Arabidopsis thaliana: one gene and its partners. The protein of the gene in region 1 interacts with the protein of each later gene in a pairwise test. Each region holds a gene or a part of one and is shown in the gene's direction. Other genes may lie near its edges.

Region 1 (5,021 bases):
CGACTTTAGTTTAAGATTTTTAAATTTAATATGACCTAAACGGGGCTAAACTAGCCATAGGCTAAGTAATTAGCATAAATATAAGAAAAGCATACACACCAAGTTGACTATAATCTTACAAATAAGTATTTGAAGTTTTAACAAATTTTTAAGAATATTTGTTCAGATATGATCTACTGGAATTCCGTTACATTTCAATGATAGTTTTTGTGGTTAACTTTTTTTAAAGAATTAAATCTTTTTAAAAAAAAAAATTGTTTTTTTCAGAGTTTATATAGTAAAATTTATAAATATAGGTATAAAATCAAAATTTATTGGATTTTCCGTAAGTTTAATTGTATGTATGAATCATCAATAGTACAAGATCCATAATATATACCTATACGCATCAAAATTGGTATATGTTTCCTCAAGCAAAGGGAAGTTCGTTAATTAGCATAAGGGTAAAGAATAATGTCTTCTACATGATTCGCATGACTATTACTTGAGTTATATAAAGATTCTATGTACGTATGTCTTCAGATATGTAAAGGAAGAATTAATGTAATTCTAAAATGTTCTAAAAAATTGATGCGGGTTTTAATTTAGTGGTTTGTATGTACGAATGTTGCTACCCTGTTCGCTGTCCGGATTCCAATATGATAAATATGCGTGTGAGTACAAACGAAAAAAAGACTATTATAGAACATTAAATCTTTAAATTATTGAGTTATTTACGTGTTAAGGCTCAATGAATATTCGAACTAAAGTTGTGACATCAATTTACAAGTAAATGTGGGCTTTCCGTCTTATAAACTTTTTTCATTTCCCATGACATGTGTATTGAACTCCTTTAATACAATAATGAGGTGAAAACTTTTTAAGATAAAGATTTTTGTAACTCCACTAGGGAAAAATCATTGTATCAAACTTTAAAAAATTTCGAAATACAAATGTTAAAATAGACCACTTAGCATGAAATGTTCGTATACGTATATAGATCGAGCTTTAAGAACTTTGTACTAATTAGGATCAAACTATAAAATATTTTGCTAATATATCAAACTGTATATGATTATCTCAACAGAACCTTGTTGTAACTTGCTATAAGCCATGTTGAAAGCTGGTTCACCAGCCGGGCACAAGCTTAGCTCCTGGCTCATCGACCGATCTGCGATACGACTTTTTCAGTGGTTAACAATAGTAATAGGTCCCTCCACTCGACCTTTTTTAATGTATATAAAAAGCTAAGATGTGAGCTTTTTTTTCTGGACATTTAAAGTTGAGTTCACATGAGACCGAACCAAAACATGAATCTGGCTATAATAAAGCGACGTGTATATGTAATATATATAAGTCTTTGTCCTCTCCACTTTATTCTATATGAAATGCATGTGGCCGTTGCTCCACATTTTTTGTTTCTCATCATAAATAAGCTAAGTAAAGGTATCTAAAAATTAATATAATTATAGTATACTAAATTTAATTTTAATCAGAATTTTGTACTAGGGATTGTGTGATTTAGAAGTCTAGGCGCATTTTTCATCCTTATTAATTATCTTTCCTTAGATTGGTAAATTATTAAGCGAAAAAGCTATGTAATGCCGTATATATATTTATACAATCAATTATGATTGATGCAGCATTTTAACCAAAGAGAAAACAATTCAACATTAAGATAAAAATTAATTTATTTTCTATATTTCCATTAATTTTCTGTTGTATATTTAAACATTATTTACGAAACAATATATTTTGATTCAAGATTTAACAATTAAATTATTGAATTTTTCACATTATATTTCTAATGAAGAAACTAATCTAAAAATACTCTACATTTGATGTATCCTTGCAATCGAAATATTCAATGTTTCCGTGTAGCAAGCAAGTATATATACTTAACTTTTTGGTCATAGGTTAACTTATAGGGTTCTTTACAAAAAGCATTGGTCTCATCTCTCATGCAAAGCACCAGTTTGGTTCAGTTAATTGAAAAGTATGTTCCTTAGATTCTCTGATTGAAACGATGATTCTAGTCCCTCTCCAGTGTGTGTCCATCCCGTGTTAAAAGAAATTGACAAAACTAAAATAAAGAAAGATTGCCATTCTCTTTAAAAAAAGATTGTCTTTCTCTTTAAGAAAGATTATTAAACAGTGAACATAAAGAACCACAAATTACTCTATTCTGACTGTAAATATCATAATTAACCAGCATATGTTCACATACAATTTTTGTTTTATCTAATCACTAACTAAAATGATAAGTTTATTGAAGATAATATGGAATTGATAATTTTTTGTTTTTTTTGTTGAATCTTCTAACAAGAATGAGAGAAAACTATATGAAGTATTCAATTCCAATATGAAAAGTTAAACTTTTTCTAGGAGTGTAAAGAAATATCTCATTCTTGAATTTCTTAAAACGTGTGAAATATGGACTGTTTTCTTCATCACTAAGCTATTACTGGTTACATAATTTTCAAATTTGTTAATTTATTTTTGTTATATGGACCCAAAACAAGCTATTGGTGCCCTACACAATATTTCCTGCTTTTACAAAAGTTGGCTCTGCCAAATAAAAATTTTCAAGTTTTTAACCCCACCATAGTGCAACATGACTCAAAAGCTGTTTATACAGTATAGTCTACGGTCTTACATCGTATTTTGGAAATATGACCAAATTACCCCTTGGTTTGTCCATAAATATCAAGCTCCAACAATGCAATTCTTCCCTTTTCCCCTTCTAATTTCTCTCATCTCTCTATTAGAAAAATTATTAGCAATTATGTTGTCCACTGCACCGGCCTTTTCATTCTCCGAACCGGGTTTGGTTAATCAATTCTCGGGTTTCCAAACCGGGTTCACTCCTTGGGAATGGGATTGCTCTGATCTCTTTTTCGTGGACCAAATGTCTCTTGAACCGGCCATCCCTAGTCCTTGTTATGGTGAATCCGACACTGGTTCCGTCAAAATTAATTCCGGTTCTCATGACATGAAAACCGGTTCTGACGAATCTTGTGCCGGTTTCGTCAAAATTAATCCTCGTTGTGACGACGCCGACATATCAAACGATCTACCGTGCTCTCAAGCAGATGAACCGGACTCGGACGACACAAAACAATTGACAGCCATCACAAATTTCGGTTCGGGAGAGAATAACCATAACCGGAAAAAAATGATCCAACCGGAGATGACCGACGAGCGGAAGAGGAAGAGGATGGAGTCAAACCGGGAATCAGCGAAACGGTCAAGAATGCGTAAACAAAGTCACATTGATAACTTACGAGAGCAAGTAAACCGGTTGGATTTAGAAAACCGTGAGCTCGGGAACCGACTCCGGTTAGTTTTACACCAGCTTCAACGAGTGAATTCCGACAATAACCGGCTCGTGACAGAACAAGAGATACTCCGGCTAAGATTGTCGGAGATGCGTCGGATTCTGATCATTAGACAACTTCAACAACAGCAACAATGGGAACTACATAACCGGAGAATGATCATGACTGAACAAAACCACCCTCATCTTCAATGATAGATCAAAATATTTAAGAAGAAAAAATATCGAAAAACTTAGAACAATAACCAAAAAAAAAAAGCAAAGCAAAAAAGAAACTCTCGCTATGTCTCTCTATCTCTCTATGTAAATGAAATGAAGGTTAGGAAGAGAAAATGATAGTTTTCTAATTTTCCTTTCCACTTTCTCGTTTTCTATATGTTGTGACTCCACTACACTAGAGAAGAAGGAAAACAAAACAGATTTTTATTTTGGTTTTCTTTTTCCCACTCTCGTGTATGAGATAAATAACTTAAAGAGTTATTAAATTAATACAACGATTTACATTATTACTTAGTGGAAACTGGAAAGGCTTTATGCGCATTGACATCATGCTACAACGCCCATAATTGTTGAAAAGATACACTGTATTTTAAAGTACTAAACCAAGCCTAATAAACCGGTTGCCACGATCCCAAATACTGTAATATCACTACATAATATATCTTAATCGTTAAAATGCCTATCTCGGCCCAAATAAAGTTTTGGAACATAAAGCCCAACAATAATTTAGGTCCTCAAGTCCATTTTTGTTACGACCCTAAAAGTTTTCCCTTGATGAAAGAGCAAAGATAAACCCTAGTTTGTAACTGAACAATTAGAATAAAGATTGTGATTATATGAAGTGATTATCAAACAAATGATTCAGAAATCGGAAACGAAGAAAGAATCAGAAGAACAACGATTTTCTAATTTCCTCTTTAAGCTTTAGAAAGACGAAACAGAACATAATGAAAGAGAAAAAACAGAGCTTTTCTTTTTTTGTTTCCTGCCGCAGGACTTGGTTTCAGTTTTCAGGTTGTGTAATGAAAGTAATCGCCATTGTGTCTGTTGTTCTCTGCAATGGGGCTGCTCACGGAGCTGTTGTTAGAGAGTGAACAAAATGTGGACTTTTGCAAAACCCCTGTAGGAGAAGATCCAAATGTTGGACTATTCGTTGTACTGTTTAGTACTTCACCTAGAGGACCTCCTAAGGAGTTTCCCCATGAGATTGGTATCCAAGTATTCACCTTTTTCACAGTAGGCTCGATTGTTGTTTCATCGGTTTGGATCGATAGGTCAAGCTCGCGGGATAGCCTGAGAGGCGAGAGTGTTGTTTTTTCTTGAGCATTGTTGTTGTTGTGTGTGGAGGAAGGGGATGATGATGCTATTGGAATTGACATTGAGAGCTGTGTCCAATCTGATGTCAGCTCTTCAGGCCAAGAATTGTGATTGTGATTCCCTGAATGCTTCTCTTGGTTGCTGCTGAAATCCAAGAACGATGATCCATAGGTCTTTGCGGTATTCGGGTTGAGTAACGAATCAGAGGATATGTGTCCAAACTCAAAAGGGTTGTTGTTGTTTCTGTGTTTCTGATGAATAACCGGAGATTCCTTGGGTTGTAAGTTGACGGTGGAAGGATATATCGAAACTCCTCTGTTTTGCAAGAGTCAGTAAGTGAGATATGAACTAACAATGAATATGCAGAGTATTAAAAATCTGTTTTCAC
Region 2 (6,034 bases), 5.2 Mb from region 1:
AAAAAGGAATAAATGAGAGACAAAGAAGAAAGCATATTCGGCTTTAAACGGGAAGCGGGTCCGTCAATTATATTTTCTCAACGCCTAACCGCTATGACTGCTGACTTGGCTCTTGCGGTTTTATTCTTATCCTCTTCTCCACCTCACCGGCTCCTTCCTTAATCCTTATGCAGCGCGCCGCTTTTTTTTTTGCTCTCACTGGATCTTTGTCTTTGGACTCTTTACAAACTAAAATAATGATTGGAAGAGTTTTTTTAATTTTTTTTTTTTTTTTTTTTTTGGATTTTCGTATGATAAAAATCTGGCTTTTAAAAAACACACTTTTATGAAAACTAATTTCCTTAATTTTGATTGGATGTTTAGTGAGTTTTTTTGAAATAACAAAAACCAGCTCATTGAAAATTACTCCCATTCCAAGCTTTAATGATGCTGAAATTAAGTTATAGTTTTGAATGGTATAGAAATGGAAATAGAAAACAAGACCAAAAGAGAGATTAAAGGTTTTTGAGGTAATATGCAAGGACAGTTCATAGTTTATTTGGGCCTTTACAAACAAAACATGGGCCTATGTTAATGCATAATATGATAAGACTAAGGCCCATGTCTTCCTACCTATTCACCTACATGGCCAAACCCAGTCGATAAGTTTGTGACGGAACCACAATCATGACACTCGTCCTTATTTGCTCAACTACGGTTAAAAAAAACTTGATAAATGGGTAACAACACACTTCACGAAGAAACTTAAAAATCAGTCTAACGAGGTTTTCACTAATAAAAAGTTTTTGTTTCTTTCCCTAACGACTTTACCAAACAAAGAAAGGCAAACTTAACTTTGCCAAAATTACTAAAATCACTGTCGCACAACAAAAGTCTCCTCTTTGTTTTTTTCTTTTCAAAATCTCCTTATATATCAGAGTTGATAGAGCATTTATTAAATCAGTATGTGTGATTTATTCTATATTCTGCATAAATATGTAATATTTTTAGCATCTTTTTTTTTTTTTTTTTCTCATAAGTGTAATATTTTATTCATTTTATCATTACCAGTACAATGCTTGGTTATGAGAAAACCAAAATAAAGCCCAAGACATCCCACATATAAAGGCTCATACGACACAAAAGAAGAGATAAGCTATAGACGTGTCAGACCAATAATAATAAGCTAGGGACACGTGGAACGTCCACAACCTTCACTAGTCCTGGACAAAATATTCGTTCGATCCGCTTTAACTCAATATTCGATTTGATTTGATTCGAAAAATCCGAATATTCGTAAGATTTTGGAGCAAAGCAAATAGAAAAATGTAGTAATCGTAAAAACCGAAGCAAATAACAAATACTATTTTTTCTAAAGTCGGATATTCGCTTCGATCTATATATATATATATATATATATATCACAATATAGGTTGTGCATTTGTATATGTTGGGATTTGGGCTTGTATTTGTATCCTTTGGGCCTGTGTTTTTTTTGTGACACAGTTTTTATTAGAGAAGTGGAATTTTTTAAAATAAAATTGTTTTATTTTTTATATTTTATCCTAAAATTGTCGTTTTACTTTCCAATCCATCAAATATAAGAGCGACATTTCTGTTTCCTTTCTTCGACCTTTCACTATTTTTATCACTCAATTTGGTTACAGAATTTATAACCAGAAAATTTTCAGTTGCTCTCAATCTCACACTCGTAAGTCATAAGGTAAGAAATTTGAAATCTATGTTAAATAATTTATATAAAAAAATATTTGGATGTAGCAAAGCAAAGCGGATATCCGACAAATATCATACAAAAATCCGGATATTCGTATTTTCGGATATTTGGAAATTTTCGGATCAAAGCAAATAATAAAATTAAGTATTCGATTAAAACGAATCGAATAACAAATATCCCAAATTTTCCGGATATTCGCTTCGTGCCCAGGCCTAACCTCCACTGCACATGAGACTCAAGCCTGGTGAATCAGAAACGTCGTTGGAAAATCACCGGTCAACGAGACTTCTTTTTTATCACCAATTAAAAGTTACAGAACAAACATCAATCTCCTAATCTCATCCGATTGCAAGAATCACAAAGGATTCGGCAAAAATGGGTAAAAGAAATTAGAGAAAACTGAGTAGTTCAAACTTGTCTAACAATTAAATCTCTTGCAAGAACAACAAAGGCATATCTTAATTGCATAGGAAACGAGCTTTGACCTAACCTTAGTCGTGGAGAAATTGAAACTGTCTTAAACACAGTAGATCCAAACGAACCTAATTGTCGAGAACGCACACATCGCCGGAAAACTGTTGGAGCCAAAAAAAACAGAACCCAACGGTGAAGCCAATCAAAGCAGAAAGAAACTAAATCATGCGAAGAGAACACCTCTTCGGAACTGAAGATTCTGCCTGTCATAATGTTTCATCATCAAGATTTTAAAGCTACAAAACAAAAACAAATCCGAAGAAACCGAATTCAAAATTGCCCAAAAAGAAATCTAAATCCCGATCAACGGGAGATAATAGCCGGAAAAAATCCAGATAACGGAAACCGGAAGAAACCCGGACGGCGATTCTAAACTTACATCGGAAAAATCTTTCTCTGAAAAATACTATAGAGAGAAGAGAGAGACCTTCCTCCTTTTAGATCTTTCTTTAATTAAAAATTTAATTTTTATATTTTTAGCATCTAATCAGCCTCAAAAATATAAAATATCTTAGATTTTTCTCGAATAATAATAACGAATATATATATAATTCGAGCTCCACTTGCTCCAAATTTAAAATCATTGACGCTGAGGAGTGTCAAAACGCTTGACAAATGATCACACGTGTAAGCCTATGAGTGGTGGTCGATTTGACTGATGCACTATCAACACATACCTAAAGATATAGAGAGAGAAACGCATATCGTTGACTCTCCCCCTTTTTCACTCTCTTCATTTATTCTTCCCCTCATCATCATCATCATCTTCTTCTTTAACCAAAAACACAACTTACAAGAAAACTGTTGAATCTTTGTATTTATTTACATCTCCTTTGACCTTTAATAAGAATCTGAGTGGTTGGTCTCTGATTTGATGAGATGACTGTTGAGCTGATGATGAGCAGCTACAGCGGCGGCGGAGGAGGAGGTGATGGTTTTCCTGCAATCGCCGCGGCGGCGAAAATGGAAGATACCGCTTTGAGAGAAGCTGCTTCTGCAGGGATTCACGGTGTGGAGGAGTTTCTTAAACTGATCGGTCAAAGTCAACAACCAACGGAGAAGAGTCAGACGGAGATAACCGCGGTGACTGACGTCGCCGTTAACAGCTTCAAGAAGGTCATTTCTCTACTCGGTAGATCTAGAACCGGACACGCTAGATTCAGACGAGCTCCCGCGTCAACGCAAACGCCGTTTAAGCAAACGCCGGTGGTTGAGGAGGAGGTGGAGGTGGAGGAGAAGAAGCCAGAAACAAGCTCCGTGTTAACAAAACAGAAAACAGAGCAATATCACGGTGGTGGATCTGCGTTTAGAGTTTATTGTCCAACACCAATTCATCGTCGTCCTCCTCTATCACACAATAACAACAACAATCAGAATCAAACAAAGAACGGTTCGTCTTCTTCATCTCCTCCGATGCTCGCAAACGGAGCACCGTCAACGATAAACTTTGCGCCGTCACCACCAGTCTCAGCGACGAACTCATTCATGTCTTCTCATAGATGTGACACCGATAGTACTCACATGTCATCAGGATTCGAGTTCACTAACCCATCTCAGCTCTCTGGTTCGAGAGGTAAACCTCCTTTATCATCAGCTTCGTTGAAGAGAAGATGTAATTCATCTCCCTCAAGCCGTTGCCATTGCTCCAAGAAAAGGTTTTGATTCAACTTCTATTATTAAAAATTAATCTTATTTTAGATCTAAATCTTGAGATTTGATTAATAAAACGTTAATTATAATTTGTGTAAAAAAATCAGGAAATCAAGAGTAAAAAGAGTGATTAGAGTTCCAGCAGTAAGTAGCAAAATGGCTGATATACCATCAGATGAGTTTTCATGGAGAAAATATGGTCAAAAACCAATCAAAGGCTCTCCTCATCCTCGGTAATTATTTTTTACATTTTTTACCATCGATATATATACTCTACACATACATCACAATCACTCACTAGATTCAACACCAAAAATCAAATATTGGCTAGAAAATTAAGCAACTTGTGTATTGTCAATATTAGTACCAGAGAGATTGTCAATATTGTTTTTTTCTATATCGGTTGTACCAAACATGTTGTCTAGTAGTACAGTAGTGGGTTCAGTTTCACGCTCTTTTTGACTTGTTGTTTCCTATAGAATAAATTTGAAATAGAAAGCCGAGAGTTAAGTTGACTATTTCTTTTCTCATTAATTAATAAGAACTCGAACTAACTGGGGAGGACTCGGTGTAATGGTTATGACAGGGGATATTACAAGTGCAGCAGTGTAAGAGGTTGTCCGGCGCGTAAGCATGTGGAGCGTGCACTAGATGATGCGATGATGCTAATCGTGACGTACGAAGGAGACCACAACCATGCTTTGGTTCTCGAGACGACGACGATGAATCATGACAAAACTCTTTAGTTTCTCGAGTTTGAGGGGAACTGTCTGTGTGTGACCACTATCCAGATTAGTCAACGACAGAGTGGGCCCGCACTGCACTTTTTTATTCTTTTCTTTTTGAAAAGCTTTTGCTTTATCTTTCTTTTTGATTGGAGGAAATAGAGGGAGGGGAGATAAAGACGAGAGAGGAACGTTGTGGATCTTGATGGAAGTTGAATCATGTGAATGTCCTTTTCTGTTTATTTATTTCTAGGATAATATATATTTAGTGCACTATTTTTGTCAAATCTCTGATTCTTTTCTTACTTGCAGAACTATTTGAGTTTTTAGGGAAATTATCAGTTAATTTAGATTCAACTGACCATAATGCTATGCTGGTAATTGGAAAAAATTGCAATTCAAATTTCGTTAAACAAAAAAAAAAAGAACTATTTGTAGATTACATAGTCAAATCAACTTAACACACGTTTATAGAAACTAGAAAAGTTGTCGATCAAATAATAAGTAGCTCTAATAAGTATTTATTTCAGCATTAGTGAAAAACCTCAGATGCAATGTCGTTATCCTTTTAAGTGTGTTTTTTCCAACAAAGTTGACAATGTTTATGATTATGTTAACGGCTATAAATTCAAGTGTAAAGTACTTCAACATTTAGTAAAAAATTTAAAGCTTTACTACAAAATTTTGTTACCAAGAAAATCAGCTATTCATGCATCATTGCGTTATAACTCTTCAATATCACTTTTAAGTGATGTTTTAGAGACTTTTTTTAAAAAGATGTTTTAAAATTTTTTAGACCAATCATATTTTAGAGTATGTTATCTAATTAGTTAAAATTTGTTTAATTGTATTATATGTAAAAGAGGTAGGATTAAAGTGATACACAAATTATGTGTTTTCTTAATTTGTGTATAAAACCTTTAAACATCACTTAAAGTGATACAAAAAGAGTATTTTACAACATATCCATTAATAGAATTTAAAAAGTCATTCACTTAGTCAAAAAAAAAAAAAAGCATTCCATATTTTTTATTTTATTTTAGAGATTAGTAAAAGAAAACGTTCAAATGCAATGTTATTTAGTATTTTTCTCCCTTACAAAGTTAACGACCTTTTTAGAAATTCTATAACGTCTACAAATCGTTTTAAGTATTAAATTGAAAAATGACAATGAGTTCGAGTAATTTGTTATTGTTAAAATATAAAATTTATCTTATTTAAAAGCAATTCTAAAGTTCTTCTCTTTAGAAGATGGGATAAATTTATCTTATCAACAAAAAAAGGTACTTATATAAAAATTTAAATTTGCCACTCTGAAAAATTAAGCTACATCCGATAACATCATTGAAAATTTAAACGTTGTGAAAGTAAATAACATAGAAGCTTTTTAATTATATATCAATCCATGTATCATCGAAGCTTTCTTATAAAAAGTAACAAGTCAACTTAATCTAGTAGCCTCAAAAGTAGA
Region 3 (5,913 bases), on another chromosome or scaffold:
TTCAATAGAACAAAAATATTGCGAATTTATCTAATAATGTTTCTGTAATACTAAAATTATTTTAAAAGTTTTTATTTAATATATTGTTAATTTGTCTAAATTTTGTCACGACCGTTTTTCTTCATGAATAGTCTTTGACGTAGTTGAACATCCATTTTGTATACACTGTTATAAATTTGCACACATTTTGTGTTTCAACAATTTTTAAAAAGTATATATGTAGTGTACAACTTTACTTTATTATTGCTTTACTTTTTTTTTGTCTATTGTCGTTGAAAAATGACATCAAATGAATCTGTTGCCTTCCTTACGTAGGAAACGTTTTGTTGAAATAGTAATAATTAGTAAGGGTCATTGTATATTGGTGGAGAAAATGTTTTTCTTACTTCTGTAATTGCATCGTCTTTTCTTCACGTAGGGTAGGCAATCACATGCATTCAGGCGTGCGTTCACTGTTTTCTTTTTTCTTCTAGCTTTTTGTTTTCCTACTATATTGTTGCAGAAAAATGTTTAGTTTAAACTAAATTAATTATCCAACTCTTTAAAGTGGCAATCTTGTAAATAAAAAGGGGAGTAGGTCTGGACCAATGTGGCAATGCGAGCGATATGTTAAAAAAGCTGTGGAATAAACAAAATTTTGGAAATTAGGAGTTCCTTTCGTTTTATGGAATTGAAAGAAAATGACACTTTCAATATTTTTTTGGTATTTCTTTAGTAAAAAATGTTTTAAATTTTTAATCGATCGAATCGTAATGAACCTTACAAAAAAATCATAAAATTTGAAGTTGATATATAAATTTTAATCTAGAGATGTTAACTTTTTGGATTAATCTGGAAGCGACCTGTTTTAAGTTGTTTCAAAACTATTAGGACCGAAACCAAATAGAATCGAGCAAAAAATGTTAGAAATTTTTATTTTATTTTGTGTTCTTTAGGTTAACCAAATGTTCGTTCATGGTGTAAGATATCAAATAATGGATGAGCTTAACCTCTAAAATACAAGTTTAAATTGATCGGTTCAAATCGGACCGAACTTAAATGATTTTGCAAGTTATTAGAGTGATCATGATCATGTTATGTTACGGAATATTACAGAGTAACTTAACTTAAGCACTGACTTAGTTGACCCAAAAAGAGACCATTGACTTCATGAAATGCTTGAGTGTGGAAAAAATAAAACAGAGTTATTCAAAAACGTTTTGAGTTGTGAATTATTCTCATTAACATTGTATTTATTTGGTGCACAAAAAAAAAAAAAAAAAAAATTGTATTTATTTATACCCACTAAAGATGGGAAGAAGACTTGTAAATTATGATGAAAAGTCCCTCGGTTGGTAGCAACTAGCAAATGTGGGGATGGAACAATCCTCCACGTTCGAAATTGTTCTTCTTTAGCACAATCAAGATACTGCAAAGTAAACTACCTCTAATGTAATTAATTAACCTCACAAATTGTTATGTTAATTAATGGTATTGAATTATACTCGTCGATCTTTTGTAAGATATTTTTGTTGAATGCCGAAAAAATTATCAGAATCTATAATTGATGTTTTTGTTTAAGAGTCAATTTGGGAGAATGAGTTAAATTACTATAGAATACAAGTATACATCACATCAAATAATATGAATAATTCACTAAACAATGAAGGAGTAGTTACTAGTCACTCTCTTTTATTTATTTTTAATTAAAAAACGAATATATATGTTATTGTAGTTTAATACTATTAATAAAATAAAATTCTATTACTTCACTTAGCTAAAAGACCCACAGTGCAGTAACAGTGAGAAGTAAATTTCATGAATAATGTATTACAATACAATAATAACTTGTTCGATACAAAGTATTATTCCTTTCACAAACTAAATTTATTTACCATATATCCATAATATAATTCCAAAAATAGTATGTTTTATTACCATATTGTAAAAGGGAAAAATGTCATTTAAATCATCACTTTACCATTTTCGTTGGTTTAAAACATAAACTCTCGATTTGGTGATTTAAATCCTCAATTTTATGTTGACGTTTAATTTAATCACGAATTCTCGTTAACTAAGCCAATTAAGACACATCGTTAAAAAATTTTCTAATTAAAATTTTTGAGTTTTTCTCTATTTTTCTTCAGAATCTCTTATCTTCTTTGGAATTTCTCTTCTTATTCGAATTCAAAGTAATCTTTCATCTTTAGGTCGATTGACGATACCGGGAAAAAAAATTGTGTCTCAATTGGCTTAGTCAACGAGAATTTGTAATTAAATTGAAAATCAACATCAAATTAAGAATTTAATTCACAAGATCCAAAATTCATACTTTAAACCAACGAAAATGATAAAGTGATAATTTAAAAAACATTTTCCTTATCCCTATTGTAAAACTATTTTCACCAATCTTAACCGAAAAAATGAAATAAAACTGTCCAAAAAAAAAAAACCAAATGCTAATAAAAAACGAATTTAATTTCCCATCTTCGTTTTTTTTCTTTCTTTTAATGCTTTAATAAATTTTTATTGAGATCTGTGTTTGAACAATCGTTTCTTAAAAGATTTTTAACATCTTTTTAAATTCCTCGGTCTCTTAAATTTACCAGTTACATAACTTTCTTTTATTTTTCCGACATAAATTAAAAGTTTTGTCTTTGGTAATAGAGAGGCAGAAAAATCTTGGCCATAGATTTGTCATCTGTTTTCGATTCGTTTTGATTCTTTACTTTATCTTCTTCTTCTTCTTCTTCTTCCTCTTTTTGAATCTTTTATCTTCTCACTTTTCTTTTTCACTTTTGGGAAGCTCGAAGAGCTGAGAGGAGTGTGAGAGAGAAAAGGATCTTTGAAGTCGCCGGAATAATTTGTTTAACCGGAGCTCTGTCTTTGACTCTACGCTTCTCTCTCTTCTTCTTCCTTCTTCGTCTTCTTAATCGCTTTCTGCTCTGTTTTTCTCGTTCATCAAGCTACATCTACTAGCTCTCTCAGTGATTGATTTCTCACAGTTTCATCGATTTCCATGCGTTTAAGACCTAAAAGGTAACTGGGTTTGCTAAAGTTTGTTACTTTGAATGGTTTTTATAGTTTCTCTGTTCGAATCTGAAGTGGGTTGTTGTGTTTTTGCTGGTTATTGAAACAGGACTTGTTCTGGGGTAAAGGACTTTTCTTGTTCTTGAGAGAGTTCATTTTGAGGCTTTTCTGGGAATTTTGAGAGGTTTTTTAGGGTTTAAGGGGGTTTGGTTTTGAATTTCGCACACCAAGTGTTCGATAAAATGGCTGAACGAAAGAAACGCTCTTCTATTCAAACCAATAAACCCAACAAAAAACCCATGAAGAAGAAACCTTTTCAGCTAAATCACCTCCCAGGTTTATCTGAAGATTTGAAGACTATGAGAAAACTCCGTTTCGTTGTGAATGATCCTTACGCTACTGACTACTCATCAAGCGAAGAAGAAGAAAGGAGTCAGAGAAGGAAACGTTATGTCTGTGAGATCGATCTTCCTTTCGCTCAAGCTGCTACTCAAGCAGAATCTGAAAGCTCATATTGTCAGGAGAGTAACAATAATGGTGTAAGCAAGACTAAAATCTCAGCTTGTAGCAAAAAGGTTTTACGCAGCAAAGCATCTCCGGTCGTTGGACGTTCTTCTACTACTGTCTCGAAGCCTGTTGGTGTTAGGCAGAGGAAATGGGGTAAATGGGCTGCTGAGATTAGACATCCAATCACCAAAGTAAGAACTTGGTTGGGTACTTACGAGACGCTTGAACAAGCAGCTGATGCTTATGCTACCAAGAAGCTTGAGTTTGATGCTCTGGCTGCAGCCACTTCTGCTGCTTCCTCTGTTTTGTCAAATGAGTCTGGTTCTATGATCTCAGCCTCAGGGTCAAGCATTGATCTTGACAAGAAGCTAGTTGATTCGACTCTTGATCAACAAGCTGGTGAATCGAAGAAAGCGAGTTTTGATTTCGACTTTGCAGATCTACAGATTCCTGAAATGGGTTGCTTCATTGATGACTCATTCATCCCAAATGCTTGTGAGCTTGATTTTCTCTTAACAGAAGAGAACAACAACCAAATGTTGGATGATTACTGTGGCATAGATGATCTGGACATCATTGGTCTTGAATGTGACGGTCCAAGCGAACTTCCAGACTATGATTTCTCAGATGTGGAGATCGATCTTGGTCTCATTGGAACCACCATTGACAAGTATGCTTTCGTTGATCATATCGCAACAACTACTCCCACTCCTCTTAATATCGCGTGCCCATAAGTTTTGCAGCTAGGTGTTATTATTAGCTATAGGAGCAACGTAAAAAGCTCGTTGTTACTCGGTTTTGTCTTAAGTTATTAAAGTATAGCAGAGGCAGTTAATCTCAAGGGAAGCAAAAACCCTAAAGATAGAAGCAGATGCAGTTTTGTGTGTTGGTGTTACTAAAGAAAGTTTTGTTGACATAATGGTTTTGATGTTGTGGAGAAGATAGAGAGGTGTGATCGAAATTGTAAATCTCAGGTGGTTTTTTTTGAAGGCAATTGTTTCTCATTTAGGGTTTTTTTCTATATGAGGATTGTCTTTGAAAAGCCTTTAGATGTTTTCTAATTCGTAAGCTCTCTCAATCTTTGTAAGTTTTGCCTGTTGAGTTATTGATACATATGTGAGACCTACTTTATTTGTTTTGTGCTACATACATTGTTGATGGTTTCGTCCTCTGCTCTTGTTAAGTCATTGTTACCAATGTTTGATTGCTGTTTCTTTCGGGTTGATTCAGTCAGACATGAAGATAACTAGATAAACCGTTTGTTCTCTGCAATCACTACCTATAGAGTTAGGGTTTAGGCTTATCCTCTTTTTGCATTATATCAGTAAAGTTTTCTTTAAAAGTTATGTGAACAAAAACACATAATGCAAGATAGAGAGGTTAATGGGTTTGGTTGATGATAACAGTAGGACAAATTATCACCGCTCTAATTGCGTTGGTTCTTAAACCATTTCTTTTATAATATTTAATATTTGATCTAATTTTCTTAAAGCAACCTTTGCGTATATTACAAGTCTTGCCAAAATTTTCAACTAGTTCCATCTTTGATATAAAGAGTATATAGTGGTGTGTTCTTTTGTGTCAAGCCATCTCTCAACTTCAGACTGTAGCTGCTTTTGGATTTTATTAGTTTCGTTTTAGTGAACAGAATTATGGATATACATTGAATTGAACGTGCATATTCATTTTGTTTTTGTTTTTTCAACAAATTAAAATGAATTCTAAGATGTTTTTGTTTTTTTGTTAATTGAATTCTTAAGATGTTGACAGAAAATAAATTGAAGTCTTAAGAATAATTGATTTGAGATTTTAAGACTTGTACTTTTCTTTGGAGATTGGAGATTTGACATGCTCGAAGTCGATGTATACAATTTGGTTTTTTATCAAGTGTCATTCTCATTCGATGGAGCTTTTTTTTTATCAAAAACGTGGAAATTAGTGATTTCTAATGATCTGAAATAAAAATTGGGTTTACTTCCATGGTTTTTTTTTGGACAAAGGGGTTTACTTACGATCAAGCAATCAATTACATAGTTATTCTGGATTAGTCATTTGGTAATATTTAGCATCTTATGAAGAATCTTAAACACGTCCATTATACAACTAAATATGTTGCACCATTTGATGGAAAAAAAATATGTTGCACCAAAAAAATGATCCAAGATGTTGAAACTTGAAAGAAAAAATCGAATAATAATAACAAATAGGCTTTCTGGCTTTCTATGTTACTGAAAGGCCCAATGCACGTAAACGGAGAGCCCACATTACAAATTAATAATTTTTGTTGGGCTAGTGAGACCATAACGCTATCATACGTTGTAAATCTGTACAGCAAGTTAACAATTACAATAATAATCAGATTTTACACTCTTTTATAGATAAGTCATGGTCAAGACT

Evidence for each region.
Region 2: the proteins of bZIP7 (region 1) and WRKY7 interact in a two-hybrid assay, tested with the Arabidopsis thaliana proteins (one large-scale study listed by BioGRID).
Region 3: the proteins of bZIP7 (region 1) and CRF11 interact in a two-hybrid assay, tested with the Arabidopsis thaliana proteins (one large-scale study listed by BioGRID).

Annotation. Positions count from the first base shown.
Region 1 is NC_003075.7:17,721,207-17,726,227, forward strand, and holds bZIP7 (basic leucine-zipper 7), read left to right. Parts: upstream 1-2,432; 5' UTR 2,433-2,593; coding exon 2,594-3,511; 3' UTR 3,512-3,831; downstream 3,832-5,021. Other genes in the region: GRF2 (growth-regulating factor 2), read right to left, coding at 4,327-4,948.
Region 2 is NC_003075.7:12,568,863-12,574,896, forward strand, and holds WRKY7 (WRKY DNA-binding protein 7), read left to right. Parts: upstream 1-2,675; 5' UTR 2,676-3,067; coding exon 3,068-3,843; intron 3,844-3,945; coding exon 3,946-4,071; coding exon of another isoform or gene 4,072-4,075; exon of another isoform or gene 4,076-4,424; coding exon 4,425-4,584; 3' UTR 4,585-4,911; downstream 4,912-6,034. Other genes in the region: AT4G24231 (uncharacterized protein), read left to right, coding at 13-162. UniProt on the Arabidopsis thaliana protein: Transcription factor. Interacts specifically with the W box (5'-(T)TGAC[CT]-3'), a frequently occurring elicitor-responsive cis-acting element.
Region 3 is NC_003074.8:9,472,801-9,478,713, forward strand, and holds CRF11 (Integrase-type DNA-binding superfamily protein), read left to right. Parts: upstream 1-2,611; 5' UTR 2,612-3,018; exon of another isoform or gene 3,019-3,118; 5' UTR 3,119-3,251; coding exon 3,252-4,250; 3' UTR 4,251-4,790; downstream 4,791-5,913.